Stegostoma tigrinum: one gene and its partner. The protein of the gene in region 2 interacts with the protein of the main gene of each other region in a pairwise test. Links are inferred from orthologs where the notes say so. Each region holds a gene or a part of one and is shown on either strand. Other genes may lie near its edges. The genes, in order: nfe2l2a and tnnt1.

What was found.
Region 1: the proteins of tnnt1 (region 2) and nfe2l2a interact in binary tests that used the Homo sapiens proteins (3 or more experiments, as listed by UniProt). The two-hybrid records come from large-scale screens. The link is inferred for Stegostoma tigrinum from reciprocal best matches to the Homo sapiens genes TNNT1 and NFE2L2.

The regions. Positions count from the first base shown.
Region 1 is NC_081360.1:45,395,264-45,403,303, reverse strand, and holds the start of nfe2l2a (nuclear factor erythroid 2-related factor 2a), read right to left. Parts: upstream 3,272-8,040; 5' UTR 3,189-3,271; coding exon 3,156-3,188; intron 1-3,155.
Region 2 is NC_081391.1:18,771,082-18,779,273, reverse strand, and holds the start of tnnt1 (troponin T, slow skeletal muscle), read left to right. Parts: upstream 1-4,802; 5' UTR 4,803-4,914; intron 4,915-8,192. UniProt on the Homo sapiens protein: Troponin T is the tropomyosin-binding subunit of troponin, the thin filament regulatory complex which confers calcium-sensitivity to striated muscle actomyosin ATPase activity.

The DNA of each region.
Region 1 (8,040 bases), on a different chromosome or scaffold from region 2:
TCAACCAAAAACTCTACACTTCATTTCAATCCAATGTACTCCAGGTTCATTTATCTATATTGGATCATGGTCCTGCACTGTTCAAATTTCAAGTAGTCCTTATGCTTACAAGTGTTCTGACTTGTCTCTTTCATAGTATTGTCAAGTCCTTCAACTTCCTAAATATAGCATTGTTCTCAGCTGGACCTCTTCTGTCTTGTCCCACCATTGGCAGTGTAAAATGGGAAGTGACCCATTAACTGTATTGTCATTATGTTCCAGTTCCCTTGTCAAACCTTTCCTTTCTCCTTTAAGAGATTTCTTAAAACCAGCTTTTTGACCAAACATTTATTCACCACTTCTAATGTCTCTTTTAGTTCAGTGCTCATCAGGTGGAGAGAACTCAAATAGTCAAGCCTGAAAATAAGAGGGTTAAGGTTTCAGCAGCAGATTGCCTGACTCAGTGGATCATCATAAGCAGGTGGCCTGTATGATGGAAAGTACATGAGATTGGAAATCCTCAGAGTCAAGTCGAACACCAAAGTGGCAAATTCTGATTCAGACAGAGATAGCTGTCGGGTAGCAGAATGAAATTGGTAGCTAGCTTCAAATGCTTTGTTCCTCCCAAATTTTATAATTGTGAGCATGTTAGACAAATAATCTGACAAAACAAAAAGATAGTGATTAAGTGGAGAGTGTTGGTGGCAAGGTAAAGCCAGGTTTCATGATACATTTGGAATACGTCTACAGCTGATGTCAGCAAACAGCATCTCCATGAAAAAAAGAGGGTGAGTTTCAAGGATAAATCCTTGGGAACTCCAGAATTCATAGATATGGGGACAGTCTTACGGTGCTGATCAAACCAGAAATTCATTTGCATCACCTTTCAGGCAGCTGCATCTAACATCCTCTGGGTAGTCCAAAAATGACATTGGCTTGTGGAGTCATGAAAAGGTATGCACAGGCTCATTCAGATGCAGATTCTTACTATCGTGGGAAAAAAATATAATGAGTGACGACGTATGTGCTTTTCTGATTGTGGCTTCTCAGCCAGGAAACGTTACTGCAATTTTGCAAGCTGATGGGCCCAAAACGTCAGCCGTCCTCCTCTGATTCTGCTCGGCCTGTGTTCATCCAGCTCCACACCTTGTTATCTCTTAACACAAAATTAAGGAACACCAATAGATATTTTCAATCCACGAGTAACAAATACAAATGGGTAATCAAGTCAACAGATCGAGATTTACCTCCATCCTTCTCTCCATTTCAAAGTAAACTTGCTATTGGCTATTGATTACCTACCTTAACAACTGGGCTGCAGCCATGAAGTGTAGTTACATAGCTAGTAGCCAGCATGACCAAAATAAAACTAGTGCACCGTACAAATCCATCCAAAGTGGACTTTTGCACACTTGAAGCAACACTTATTTCACAAACCTCTTGGTTTCTTTAAGACATGACTTGAAATGTACATCTTTGAGCAGGCTATCGGTCAAATGACCGAATAACTCATGGTTTAATTTTGTTTGATAACACTCCCATCAATCACCCAGAGATATTTTACCTGGCGTGACACAACACACTGAAGAGTGCTGTAGAAATGCTGACTGTCAGTGATTGACAGGCAAAGGAATTTTTGACTCACCTAGGCATATTATACAGTTTTTTTTAAAAGAAAAAAGTAAACAGTTCTTTTTCATAATATTCTTAGTGCCCAGAGTACGGCATTGGATCAAAACAACAGCCAATTAGAAAGGAAGGAAATGAAATGTTTGAACATGTAAATTAGCAGTTAAAGTAATTAAACAATGCCTACACTAAAGACAACTAGATTGAGTAAAAACTTAGCAAAGGTACCTAGACAACAACTTCATACAGCTGTGAACCTTCCCAATAATAAAATAACAAGGGTTGCAAATTTCAGTGATGGAGCAATAGACAAAAGTAGAATAATTCCTTGGCAGGCCTCCATTGTTCTTTAAAAACTTTTTTTTGAAAAATTGTTATCTCCATTTTCATCCTTTACTTTGTACAATACACAGCCAAGAAGTTGACTAATTAATTTGATCCGAACTCTGTAGATCCAGCCGGAACAAAACGGGTGGAACGGCTTCTTGTACTGCAACCATTACGAGATTCCATCTGTGGCTAATGACCTTCACCGTACAGTAAGTATTTCACATCATCACGCAAATCAGTCAAGGCATCGATATCAATCATTTACTACCAGAAAAAAAATGCTGTCCTACAATCGCTGCACTCGTACTAAAGGTCAGGAATCTAGCCAAACGCGAATGCAACTCACGTGACACAACACACCGAATTGAAATGTTAGGACAAATAAAGGAGGAACAAGCGGTTTGACAGGTTACGGAGAGGAAGGGAAAGAGTTTAAAGTTTAAAAGAAGACACTAGATTTTATTTTTAATCACTACGTTTACTGAGCGTTCGATAAACAGAACCAAACCCTTGTCAGACCAGCTTGTCTTTCACCTGCCATTCAGTTACTGTAAAGGCTTGTGGGTGGGAACAAGATCACACCCTGATATCAGCTGGAAACCTCAAGGGGTCAGACGACAACCAAGCTCGAAAGCTCTTCAGAAGAAAAAAAATCACAAGACTGGGAAACGCTGCACTGGCCCACGCAAAGTTACCATCATGGGGACCCGAACGATACAGACAAATGTCCTTGCGGCCAATCTTTTTCAGACACTTTTCAGGACAATAAAATGACTTGGCATTGTGCAATAAGTTTGGCGCAGATTCCGAAATAACGCTTTGGGCAAATGCCCAGGTCCCATCGTTGCGCTTCATATCGTCAGAGGCTTCGAAAATATGTCGTAGGAGTAGATGGGTGAGGAAGTCCAATCCAAAAAGATGATGAAAATTGATGAGGGGAAGGAGGAGAGACAAATGACCGCGATCTTAAAACTAGCCACCCAATTTACTTTATTCACGAGAACCTGTACATTTTCACGTAAACGATCCACCGCCACATTGAAAACCTTCGCGTAACACGGTCAGAGCAAACTATCTTTAAAGTTTAACTAGCTTGCCTCCCTTTGCTACATGTTTTCCCCCGGGCCGCCTCCGGTCAATTTGCTCCGCAACGTTTCCCTGCTGTCTATACTGAAGCTGTCGCTGAGAGATTACTAGACACCGACTGGCATCTGTACCTGCTGCTGCGCCACTGACCGCTCGATCTCCATCGTCGCTACCTATCACCCCCTTCGATCACGCGCAACCGGCCTGACTCTTCCAGCTCTTATGACGCACGCTGGCCAGAGCTCCGCGAGACTCAGCCCTAGCCCTGCCCACCGCCGCCCGGACCACTCAACAGGCCGCGTCTCTCCGTCAATCACGCTTCACGTCCCGCCCCCACCATTGCGATTCGCTCCCACCCTGTCGATCATCAGGCCGTTCCTCCACCCAGCCGTCATCGTCAGTCCGGTCTTCCGAACCGAACACTTTGTGCCAGGTATAATTTGATTGTATGAAAAGGAGCGGTACAGACCCGCACGTTGAGTGCAAAATATTGCACAAATGGTAATGTCTGGCTTTTTGATTGATTTCAAATCTAAAGAGATCATTCATAACCCCAGGATCAGCAACGCCGTATAATTAAGAGTATAGTTTGTTTTATTGTAATAGGAGCATATCCTCTCCGTATAGGTCTATGTATTTACATGTATTAAAAAATACAGGGTATTGTGGACATAAAGGATGAAAATGGTATATTAACACTTAAAATTCGAAATGACCGTGAACAAGATCAGCTTTCATAATATGGCTTAAATCCCTCCCCCAGGAAGTTTGATACTTACAGTACTTATAGCAAAACCATTGGATATAAGCATTTTAAAAAATAAGTTTAGAAATGGTCACGTATTTAATCGAAATACGAATAGAAAATATATATAGTTTTAAAAGGCTATATCTAGGAAAAAACAAAATCAACAAATAAAACCACTTCATTCAATCAGGTTTAAAGAGACATTCAATTCAGTATAGATGTACAATAGTTAAAATTTGAAGCTGACATCGATGTTTATCCAAAGAGCTTTTTTCATAAGCACTCACACGAAATACAATCCATCGCATAATGTCTGGCCCGCCTCCGCAGTCGGTCTCAGAACCTTCCTGAGGAACTGGAAAACATTCTCGGCAAAAAGTCCCCTTTTAAATGACGTCCCTGAAATTGCGCAATGGTGCTGCCTCCACGGTAGGGCAGCAGGGCCGCATATGAAGCAATGTTGCGATAAATGGCAATTTTTAAAAATGTTATTTCATAACGTTTTTAGGATTGTGTTTTGCATTTTAAATCCTCATATGCAGGCTGTGCCGAAGGTAAAACGGACAGTTTTACGAAGTTTTACCTACCTACCTGCTCCGAAGTGAAAACATGTTAAACATCAAAGCTGATCAATAAAGATAGAAATACTATTGATTAAAATCGGTATGGCAAGGAATAGGCAATAAATGACAGCAACACTCACATCCCATGAATGAATTTAAGACACAGACAGTTTGTGATCAGCATACCCTCACAATTGCTTTCTAAATTAAATTTAAATCTTTATATTCCCAGACTGTCTATAAATGAATACCTGTATATAATTTTGTTGCAGCATTCAATGAAGACAAAAACTTCAGTATGTTTATATATAAAATTTCGTAGTTATTTAGTTGCACATCCAGAACAATTAAAGTAGAAATACTGTATTTTTCCCACTTCTGTACCTTTTGAGGAAGTGAAATTATTGGATTTCAAAATTAAAACCATAGAATACAGGAAATTCGCAGAAAATTTCAAACGAGAAAATATTATTTTACCCGACGGATCTACGTACATTTTCCAACTTTATTGTGTATTTCAAACATTCAATTTTCCTTAATGCTACTTTGGATTTCATTCGGTTCGGACATTTGGCATTGGGGAGAGTAGCTTGGCATTCTGACAACACCCTAGACATAAGTATAAAGGATGGAGGACCATATAGTCAACACTATTGGACAGCACAAAGTCATAAAGAACCGAAACAGACCCTTTGTGCCAACTCATCCATGCTGTCTACGTTTCCCAAATTTAAAAAAAAAGTCTCATTTGCCTGCATTTGGCCCACAAACCTCCAAACATTTCCTATTCATGAGCCTGTACATGTTAAATGTTGCAAATTAGTAATAACTTTCCTAAGCAGGGCAACCAGAACTGTACAGAGCACTCCAAGAGTGGCCTAACTAATATCCTGTTCAACCTCAACATAACATCCCAACTCCTATACATAATGGTCTGTGCAATGAAGATAGGCTTGCTAAATGCCTTTTTTAACACCTTAGGTTTCCTTATCATCTGACATAAAACTGTTTCAGCCATGGATTATTGATTAGATCACAGTTACATTCGTATGATCATCTGTACATGTAGCATGTATATAAATTGCCAACCACACGCTGAAGATTTGGGATCCGTCAATGCTTTCAATTTAATATTCATCTGTAAATCCCTTTTATGTACTCTTCCAATGCTCCAGCACTCTCTCGTCCTCTGACAATGGCTTCTTGAACACCCTCCATCAATTTAGCAGGCTGGCAGTGAGGGAAATTGATTCAGGGAAACTATTGATAAATTAATAAAAGTTTGTGACATTGGATCCTCAATTTTCTGGATGATACACACTTTTGTGGAGGGTCCAGGATGTAGGCAAAGTCTCTAAAAGTACCAAATTTATAATGTTCAAATATCTGAGTGATGAAATAAGTTCCAATTTAGACTGCAAAAAGGTTTATACGGTATTTGCTCCATTTCCATCACAGAAAATGACTGCAGATTGATTTAGTTTTGAAGTAACAGTTACAGATATAATTTCAAAGATTTCACAGTGAAAATTACTGTTCAAGAATGACTTCATAAAATGTATCACACTCAGAATTATTTAACACAAATTGAAGAACATAAAACATTAGAAAAGTTGAAAACAGGTTTAAATAAAAACGAAACTCAGTATTCACCAATGTAGCATGAGGTGATTTATTTCAGTAGGAACATTTATAGAATATCTATAGGAAGGAAAATAAAAGTCATTTGGCCCATTGTGTCTGTGCCAGTCAAAAATCGAACAGCCTGCTGTTATCTCACTTTGCCGCATTTAGTTCATAGCTCTTCAGCTCCAGTGCTCATAATGGTTATCCCAGACATCTTTTGAAATTAGTCCAGAGCTTCTATCTCTACTACTATTTCAGGCAGTCTCCGTCCTGTGAATGAAAAAATATATTCCTAATCTGCTTTCTGATCTTTCCACCAATCACTTCAACCCTGTGCCCCCTCATTACTGACAGCTCTGCTGAGGTAAATAAGTCCTTTCCGTAAGTCCTTATTCAGGTCCCTGACAATTTTGTACACCTCAATTAAATCTCCCTTCAGCTTCCTCTATTGCAAGGAGAACAACTTCAGCCTATGTAATCTTTCCTTATAACTAACGTTTTCAGTCCTGGTAATATCCACACAAATCTCACTGAGTCATAGGCTCATAGAGATGTACAGCAGGGAAACAGGCACTTCGGTCCAACTCATCATGCCAACCAGATACCCTAAATTAATCTGGTTCCATTTGCCAGTATTTAGTCCATATCACTTTAAACCCTTCCTAATCAAGTACCCATCCAGATGCCTTTTAAATGTTGCAATTGTAGTAGCCTCCACCACTTCCTCTGGCTGCTTACTCCATATAAGCACCACTCTCTATGTGAAAAAGTTGCCCCTTAGATCCCTTTTAAATCTTTCCCCTCTCATCATAGACCTATGCCCCCTGGTTTTGAACTCCTCTACCCTAGGAAAAAGACCTTGTCTATTCACCCCATCCAGAATCGTTGTGATTTTATAAACTTCTATAAGGTCACCCCACAGCCTCCGATACTCGAGGGAAAATAGTAGTAGCCTATTCATACTCTCTCTATAGCTCAAGCCCTCTACTCTGGCAACATCCTTGTAAATCTTTTCCGAGCCCTTTCAAGTTTCACAACTTCCTTCCTAAAGCAGGGAGACCAGAATTGCATGCAGTATTCCAATAGTGGGCTAACCAATGTCCTGTACAGCTGCAACATGACCTCCTAACTTCTATATTCAGTGATAATGGGAACTGCAGATGCTGGAGAATCCAAGATAATAAAATGTGAGGCTGGATGAACACAACAGGCCCAGCAGCATCTCAGGAGCACAAAAGCTGACGTTTCGGGCCTAGACCCTTCATCAGAGAGCTTCTATACTCAATCAACTTACTAATAAAGGCAAACATACCAAATGCCTTCTTCACTATCCTAATAACTCTACTTTTGAGGAAATATGAACCTGCATTCCAAGGTCTCACTGTTCAGCAACACACCCCTGGGCCTTATCATTCAGTGTATAAGCTCTGCCCTGATTGGCCTTTCCAAAATGCAGCCCCTCACATTTATTTAAATTAAACTCTATCTGCCACTCCTCAGCCCATTGGCGCATTTGATCAAGATTCCGTTGTTTCCGTTAGGCGGGGAGACTAGGACCCGTGGGCACAGCCTTAAAATTAGAGGGGGTAAATTTAAAACTGAAATGAGACGACATTTCTTCAGCCAGAGAGTGGTGGGCTTGCGGAATTACTTGCCGCAGAGTGCAGTGGAGGCCGGGACATTGGATGCCTTCACGGCAGAGATCGACAAATTCTTGATCTCAAAGGAATCAAGGGCTACGGGGAGAGTGCAGGGAAGTGGTGTTGAAATGCCCATCAGCGATGATTTAAATGGCGGAGTGGACTTGATGGGCCGAATGGCCTTACTTCCACTCCTATGTCTTATGGTTCTTTGAGTAACCTTCTTCACTGCCCACTACTCCACCAATTTTGGTTTCATCTGCAAACTTACTAACCATGCCTCCTATGTTCACATTAAAAATAATTTATATAAATGACAAAAAAGCAGTGGTCCCAGCACCAACCTTGTGGCACACCACTGGCCACAGGCCTCCAGTCTGTAAAGTAACCCTCTATCACTATTCTTTGTCTCCAACCTTCAAGGCAGTTCTGTATACAC
Region 2 (8,192 bases):
TATGAAATATATTGTGTAAATATAGTCTGTAATTGTGAATGCAATGAGTGCAATGTGTCACATCCTGCTTTGAGAAAAACTGATCTGCATTGCAAGTCAAAATTGAATTGTATGCAAGTTTACAAGTTTACAAAATATTACTTTGTAAAAATCTACGTCAGATGTATGCACAAAGCACTGTCTTACACAGGGGAGTGGCGTGGGAAGAGGTAACCATAGAAAATAGGAGCTGCAGTAGGCTTTTCAGCCCTTGAGCCTGTTCCATCATTCAATATAATTGCAGCCTTTTATTTATTCATTCATAGGATGTGGATGTTGCAGGCCAGGTGAATATTTATAACCCATACCTAATTGCCCAGAGGGTATCCAGAGTCACACATAGACCAGGATGGCAGATTTCCTTCTCTAAAGGAAGGGCATCAGAATTAGAATTAGAATTAGCTTCATTATCATGTGTACTCAAATGAATTCAGTAAAAAAAAGTTTACAAGTCATCTCTTACAGCACCGTTTTAGATACAAAGGGACCTAGGTACAGCTTCTTCAGTTACAAGATGTTAGAAGGATAGTGAAATAAAATGTCCAGCATTGCAGAAATAAAAGTTCAGAACAAAGGTCTTCCAACCCCGACCATGTTTGCACCTAGCCTGCTGTACACACCCGGCATTGGCTCCAGACTGTGCTGGGCTTCACCTCAAGGTTCATGAGGCTGGTAGATCACTGTGGAATCACCTCAAGATCATGAGGCCATGCCAGGCCAAGGGACAGCCACACCATGCTGGGAGTCTGCCACGCCACATCAGGAGGCCACCATGTTTGGCCAGGAGACAACTACACCAGAGAGAACCCTCTATTAGAGGACCCCCCCCCCGCATCATGTCTGCACTGAGGCCGCGAGTCATCGGATCAATGAACCAGGATAATAAAACGTGAGGCTGGATGAACACAGCAGGCCAAGCAGCATCTCAGGAGCACAAAAGCTGACGTTTCGGGCCTAGACCCTTCATCAGAGAGGGGGATGGGGGGAGGGAACTGGAATAAATAGGGAGAGAGGGGGAGGCGGACCGAAGATGGAGAGTACAAGAGAGTTGCAATGGGAGAGAGATTCCCTGAGGTTGGTCCGGAGGGAGGAGGGCTGTGTTAGCCTCACATTTTATTATCTTGTGCTCCTGAGATGCTGCTTGGCCTGCTGTGTTCATCCAGCCTCACATTTTGTTATCTTGGAATCTCCAGCATCTGCAGTTCCCATTATCTCTGATACTATTTTAACCTCACTGCGAAGCCTCTTCCAGGGATGCCTAACCTGAAGAAGTTACCCTCCTCCCTCCGGACCAACCTCAGGGAATCTCTCTCCCATTGCAACTCTCTTGTACTCTCCATCTTCGGTCCGCCTCCCCCTCTCTCCCTATTTATTCCAGTTCCCTCCCCCCATCCCCCTCTCTGATGAAGGGTCTAGGCCCGAAACGTCAGCTTTTGTGCTCCTGAGATGCTGCTTGGCCTGCTGTGTTCATCCAGCCTCACATTTTATTATCTTGGAATCTCCAGCATCTGCAGTTCCCATTATCTCTGATACTATTTTAACCTCACTGCGAAGCCTCTTCCAGGGATGCCTAACCTGAAGAAGTTACCCTCCTCCCTCCGGACCAACCTCAGGGAATCTCTCTCCCATTGCAACTCTCTTGTACACTCCATCTTCGGTCCGCCTCCCCCTCTCTCCCTATTTATTCCAGTTCCCTCCCCCCATCCCCCTCTCTGATGAAGGGTCTAGGCCCGAAACGTCAGCTTTTGTGCTCCTGAGATGCTGCTTGGCCTGCTGTGTTCATCCAGCCTCACATTTTATTATCTTGGAATCTCCAGCATCTGCAGTTCCCATTATCTCTGATACTATTTTAACTTCACTGCGAAGCCTCTTCCAGGGATGCCTAACCTGAAGAAGTTACCCTCCTCCCTCCGGACCAACCTCAGGGAATCTCTCTCCCATTGCAACTCTCTTGTACTCTCCATCTTCGGTCCGCCTCCCCCTCTCTCCCTATTTATTCCAGTTCCCTCCCCCCATCCCCCTCTCTGATGAAGGGTCTAGGCCCGAAACGTCAGCTTTTGTGCTCCTGAGATGCTGCTTGGCCTGCTGTGTTCATCCAGCCTCACATTTTATTATCTTGGAATCTCCAGCATCTGCAGTTCCCATTATCTCGGATCAATGAACCAGATGGGGTTTTCCAATCATCAACAACAGTGTAATGGTTGCCATCAGTTTTTTTTTACAATTGAATCCAAATTCCACCATCTGCTATGGCAGGATTTGAACATGGGACCCCATGACAGTTACCTGTGTCTCTGGATTAATAGTCCAGCCACAATACCACTAGGTCATCACCTCCTGCTTTATCCCTTCAGCCCTAAGTACTGTATCCAACTCCTTCTGGAAAACATCCTATGTTTAGTCCTCCAAATTTTTCTATGGCAACGAATTTGTCAGGGTCACTGCTGTCTGAGTGAAGACATTTCACTTCATCTCAGTCCTAAATAGCCTATCCCATTTCTTTACTGCACGATCCCTGCTTCTGGACTCCCCAGTTATCAGGAAAATACTTTCTGTGTTTACCATAGATAAATGGGCAGGCATTTGAACCGTTACGGTTGCAGCTTGGGGTCAAGCAATGGAAAAGAGAATGATGTTATTCTGAAAAACAGGACATCTTAAGATGTACATGATGGGACCGCAGGATGGAAGAGGCAGGTGGAAAAACATTGGAACAGCTGACAGAAGACTTCAGAAACCAAAGTGGAATTAGCTGTGTGATCAAATTGAAGAAATGTGGGATAATTTGGGTCGGGATAAAAGCATAAAATCACTTTTTGTGATTGTATGGCAGCTATTTCAATGGAAGTGCTAATCTAATCTAATCTAAATGTGGTCATGTTTCCATTAAAAGAATTGATGCACATCTCTACTACGTGATGCGATTCCATGATTTTATCATGATGTGGAGGTGCTAGTGATGGACTGGGGTGCCCAAAGTCGGATGTCACATGACACCACATTATAACCCAACAGGTTTATTTGAAATCACAAGCTTTTGGAGCATTGCTCCTTCATCAGGTGAACGTGGTGTGTGACTTCTGTCTATGATAATATCACCAATGAGAATTTTGTGGTTGCTTCACACCTCTCCAGTTTGAACACTTTGTTCTTGGGTTCAATAGGCTAACAGGAAAGTGGAATGATCTCGGCCCTCTGTCTTCTCCTGTCCTCAGATATTTCCACAGATGCATACCAGCTGCTAAACAGCACGTAGAGATGCACAGTCCTCTCTTTTCCCTCAAACATAAATGAAGATTCACCTCCTTTACCCGTTCAGCTGCTCCCCTCTTTGTCTCCCAGTACAAATACTAGCTGTCTCTCTCTACTTCCATTTGCTATCCCGCTTCCTCTTGTTTGTACGGATACCTTCTGAGGAAGGGCCACGTGACCCAAAAAGTTAACTGATTTCTCTCCAGACATTGCCAGGCCTGCTGAGCTTTTCTGGCAATTTCTGTTTTTGTCTCAGGACACCCGCCTTGAGCCCTACTTTGTACAGATCCCATTACTCCTTGTCTCATTGTACAGAAAATACTTACAGGATCATTAGATTTTATGGTACAGAAGAAGCCATTTGGCCCATTGTGTCTGTACCAGCTTCCAAAAGACCCTCCCAGCTAATCCCACTCTCCAGCCCTATCTCCGTAGCCCTCTAACATCATCCCTTTCAAATATATTTCCAGCTCTCTTTTGAAATCTTCCACGGAAACCACCTCCACCACTCTCCCAGGCCGCACATTGCAAATACCAAGAACTCTTTGAGTAAAGAAGATTTCCCTCATCTCACTCGGAGCCCTCATGCTGACAATCTTGAAATTGTGACCCCTAGTTATTAACATACCAACTAATGGAAACAGAATATCTATAGAACTCCTTCCACACCTCCCTTACAATGCCCCACCCTCTTTCAGACAAGGCTGAACCCTCACTTTGTCCAAGCATCTTGTGAAGCCATCCACAAGTATGATATTTTGAAGCAATAGAGTCATAGAGATGTACAGCATGGAAACAGACCTTTCGGTCCAACCCATCCATGCCAACCAGATATCCTAAACAAATCTGGTCCCATTTGGCAGCATTTGGCCCATATCCCTCATGTACCCATCCTGGTTCCTTTTAAATGTTGTCATTGTACCAGCCTCCACCACCTCCTCTGGCAGCTCGATCCATATACCTACCTCCCTCTGCATGAAAATATTGCCCCTCAGGTCCGTTCTAAATATTTCCCGGTCACCTTAAACCTATGTCATCGAGTTTTGGACTCCCCTACCCTGGGGAAAAGACCTTGACTATTCACTCTATCCATGCCCCTCATGATTTTATAAACTTCTATAAGGACACGTCTCATCCTCCGATGCTCCAGGGAAAACAACCTCTCGCTATACCTCAAACCCTCCTACCATGGCAACATCATTGTGAATCTTTTCTGAACCCTTTCAAGTTTCACAACATCTTTTCTGTAGCAGGAAGAACAGAACTGAAAGCCCTATTCCAAAAGTGACCTAACCAATAAAAAAAATTCCACATTCGATGGATTTTTTATTTGCCTTCTGCTGATCCTGTACATTATCAAGACTTTCTCCATGTTATCAGCCTCTGTCTCCATCCAGTATCATTTATTCTTCTTTAACATGTAAGTCTATTTAAAGGAACACACCAAATTTCCTCTTTGTTCTCCTTTGCACAGAGACCAGCCAAATAAAGACGGAGTGTCAGATTTCCCAGGCTAGTCTGTCCTGTAATTCCTGCCCTGTCTTCACTCTTTAACAGACACAGGAGGCATTCACATCCATCTCTCTCTCTCCCTTTATTCCTTTCTCCAACAGCCTTTTTCAGGTAAGGCAAAGCTGTTTGTTTAGTAGAGCTAGCTCAATCTGGCTCCTATAGTTAAAGGATAAAGGTACTTCTTTCCAATTTTCCTTCCTTTCTTGTGGCTTCCGTTTGGGAACCAAGGAGTAGAACCCAGTGATGTTGGATCCTGGATCCAATGATTCGGTACTGAAACATTTCTCATTGATAGCAAGGCTGTCCATATCAGGGATTATCTTGATTGTGGATTGTGTTTGATGATTCAAAAGGCCTCAAATTAATTTAATCATGTGAACTCCTTTTATTTTAAAGTGCATTGAGTAAAAATTGATCATGGTGACAGAGTTTTGCTGCACAGCGTTGATCATCAGAGGAGCTCGATTCTTTGCTGATTGCGATCACTGTAGTTTTTGGTCAGCGATTCTGATCGCTTCGTAAGGACAATGTATAGCTCAGCCGTTCTCAGTATAGCTGAGTTGCTTGGTTTCAACCATGGGAACCAGTTCTGACGCTGCAAAAAAGCTCAGCACCTACTTAGCGAGAGAAAAAAAAATCAAGAAAGGTCACACACTTCTGATTGCATCAGGTTTCTTCACCTTCAGAAGCTAGGGGCACGCCAATGTTGAGTGACAATAGAGCTGCACTGTGATGGCTCTATATTCAACTGAAACTCGCTGTCTGAGTTCATTCATAAAGAACAGCAACTCAGGTGAGGCATCAGAGGTCTCCTAGCAGAAGCTAATGGGAACAGGAGAGCAGGTTAATGAAGAAGAAAAGTTATTTGCAATACAGGAAGGGGCAGTACCAGAAATAATATTCATAATCCACTTGAAAATAAAGCTATTACTAGGGTCAATTTTTGCATCAGTTTACAATCTAGCATGCACCCTAATTATGTATCTGTGTTTTCCCATTTGGGATTGTAGTCGTTAGTTTTGAAATAATGTTCCGGTTGGCGACTTATTCCAAAGTATGCTAATATTTGATACCACTCCCCGTCTTCCACAATGTGTTGTTGAGATTATCTGAGATGATAACTGTGACAACGGATCTGGAAACACAAGACGGTTGGAAGGAACACGACTGCAAAAGTGTGATTGTAGGTGGTTGCAAAGCCAACAACAGCTGCAACAAGTTGCATTGATATAGCCCCTCAGGGTCTCAAGGTGATTTACAAGAATGTAATCAGACAAAGATGGGGATCAATCCAAAGAAGGAGCTGGTAGGACAAACTGGCCAAACGTTGATCAAAGACATCAGCTTTCAGAAAATATCTTGGAGGAAGGGAAGCAGGTGGAGGGTCTGGGTAAGGAGGGAGGGGATTCCAGAGCTTCGTGCCGTGATCACCAAAGGTGAGGCTGGCAAGCATGAGCTGGAGGAAGTGGATGATGTGAAAGTGGCCAAAGTTGAAGGAATTGCAGGGTTCTGTCAGCGGGCTAGGGAGGAAGGGAGGGGCGAGGTCATGTGGAGCTTTGAAAGCAGGGAATTTACATATCGTGAATTATCTGCTTCTGTGACTGTCATTAAACTCAGAGTTGAAACCATATGGGAAATCTGTTTTATGCTTCAGAAAATGTAAAATTTCCATTCTATTTCTACCTTATTTTAACTGGTGTGAATAAACTGCTTCCACGATAGAAGTACATGCTTAAAATTATTAGAAAGTTTGAATTTTGTTTCTTGTTTGAAAAATATTTTAACAAGTCACACAACGCCAGGTTATAATCCAACAGGCTTATTTGAAATCACAAGCTTTGGGAGCACTGCAGCTTTGTCAGTGAAGTTCTGAGTCTTGTCTTCGGCACTCTATAGGGCTCCAATGAATCGCAGCGTAAACTGGTGAAACAACATCTCATCTTCAGACTAGGCACTTGACAGCCTTCTGGACTTAATATCGAGTTCAACACCTTCAAATGGTGAACCAATTCCCATTCCTTCCCTTCCTTTTAGCTTTACCTGTTACATTCTCTGTGAAAGTGTCTTCTCTCCCCTGCCCCCCACTTCCGAAGGGACTGTCTGTTTTTCAAACATAATAGATATCTTTATGCACACCACTGTTCTGCCATTCTCACATTCTGGTCACTTAATCTGAACAACAAACATTCTTGCTGCCCTCAGCACTCCAACCCCACCCTCCCCCATCTATTGCATAAATGCTGCACCCCACCAACACTTCACGCTAGCTCTGATGAAGAGTCATCTAAGCTCGAAATGTTAGCTTGCTCCCTCTCTAAGAATGCTGCCTGACCCGCTGTGATCTCCAGAATTTGTTATTTGCAGTACACGCTCCAGCATCTGCAGTAATTTGCTCCTCAAATATTGTGGATTCATTATCTGTTATCGACTAATCCCCTACAGTTTGCTATTCCAGGCACATAAATGTTGCACAGCTGCACAGACCAAGGTTGTATTCCTTCGAGATAACAAAGTGTGGAGCTGAATGAACACAGCAGGCCAAGCAGCATCTTAGGAGCACAAAAGCTGACGTTTCGGGCCTAGACCCTTCTAGTCTAGATGACTAAGAGGTGATATAATTAAGGTGTTCAAGATTACTGAAGGATATTGTGAGATGGAGAGAGAGAGGAACTATTTCATCCGATAGGGAACAAGGGGGCGTGACGTTAAAACGAGACCCAGGCTGATAAGGGAACAATACCGTGTGCTTAGGTTAGTGGGAGTTTGAGGCTAAAGTGTCAACTGAAATTTCAAAACTGACATTGATGGATTTTCATTGGCCGATGACATTGCAGGTCACACAGCAGCAGTGAGTAAATAAAATGAAATTAGAGATGACCTATTTGAATTAGGGAACAGTCTCCAGGGGCTGAGAGACCTCCGCCCATTCCTTTCCTCCTATGAATGCAGAATTTTTATAAACTTCTGTGTGTGCTGTTCTTGTTGCACGGGTTACTGACTTGTCAATGTCACCGAGTAAAATAATTGGCTGGGTATTACGCACCTCTTCCACATTTAGGGAGTGAGGGCCATGTAAAATACAGCAGGTGCCCAGCCTGTCACCTACCCAACTCTGAGCTCATTCCCCGTAAGGTGGGGAATGGCAAAGACTGGAATCGTTTATGTACAAGGTTACCCCGATCCCCTTTATATATGTTGCAGCATTCTACAGTTTCTGTCCTTTTAAATAATATTTTGAATTCCTGTTCTTCCTGCCAAAGTGGGGAATATTGCATTTTCCCGCATTATGTTCCATCTGCTGCAGAATCTGGCAATGGTTCTAAAAGAGCAACTAGTGCTGGTATGTGGTCACAGTTTGATGTCAATCTTGCCCTGGCTCAGTCTAAGTG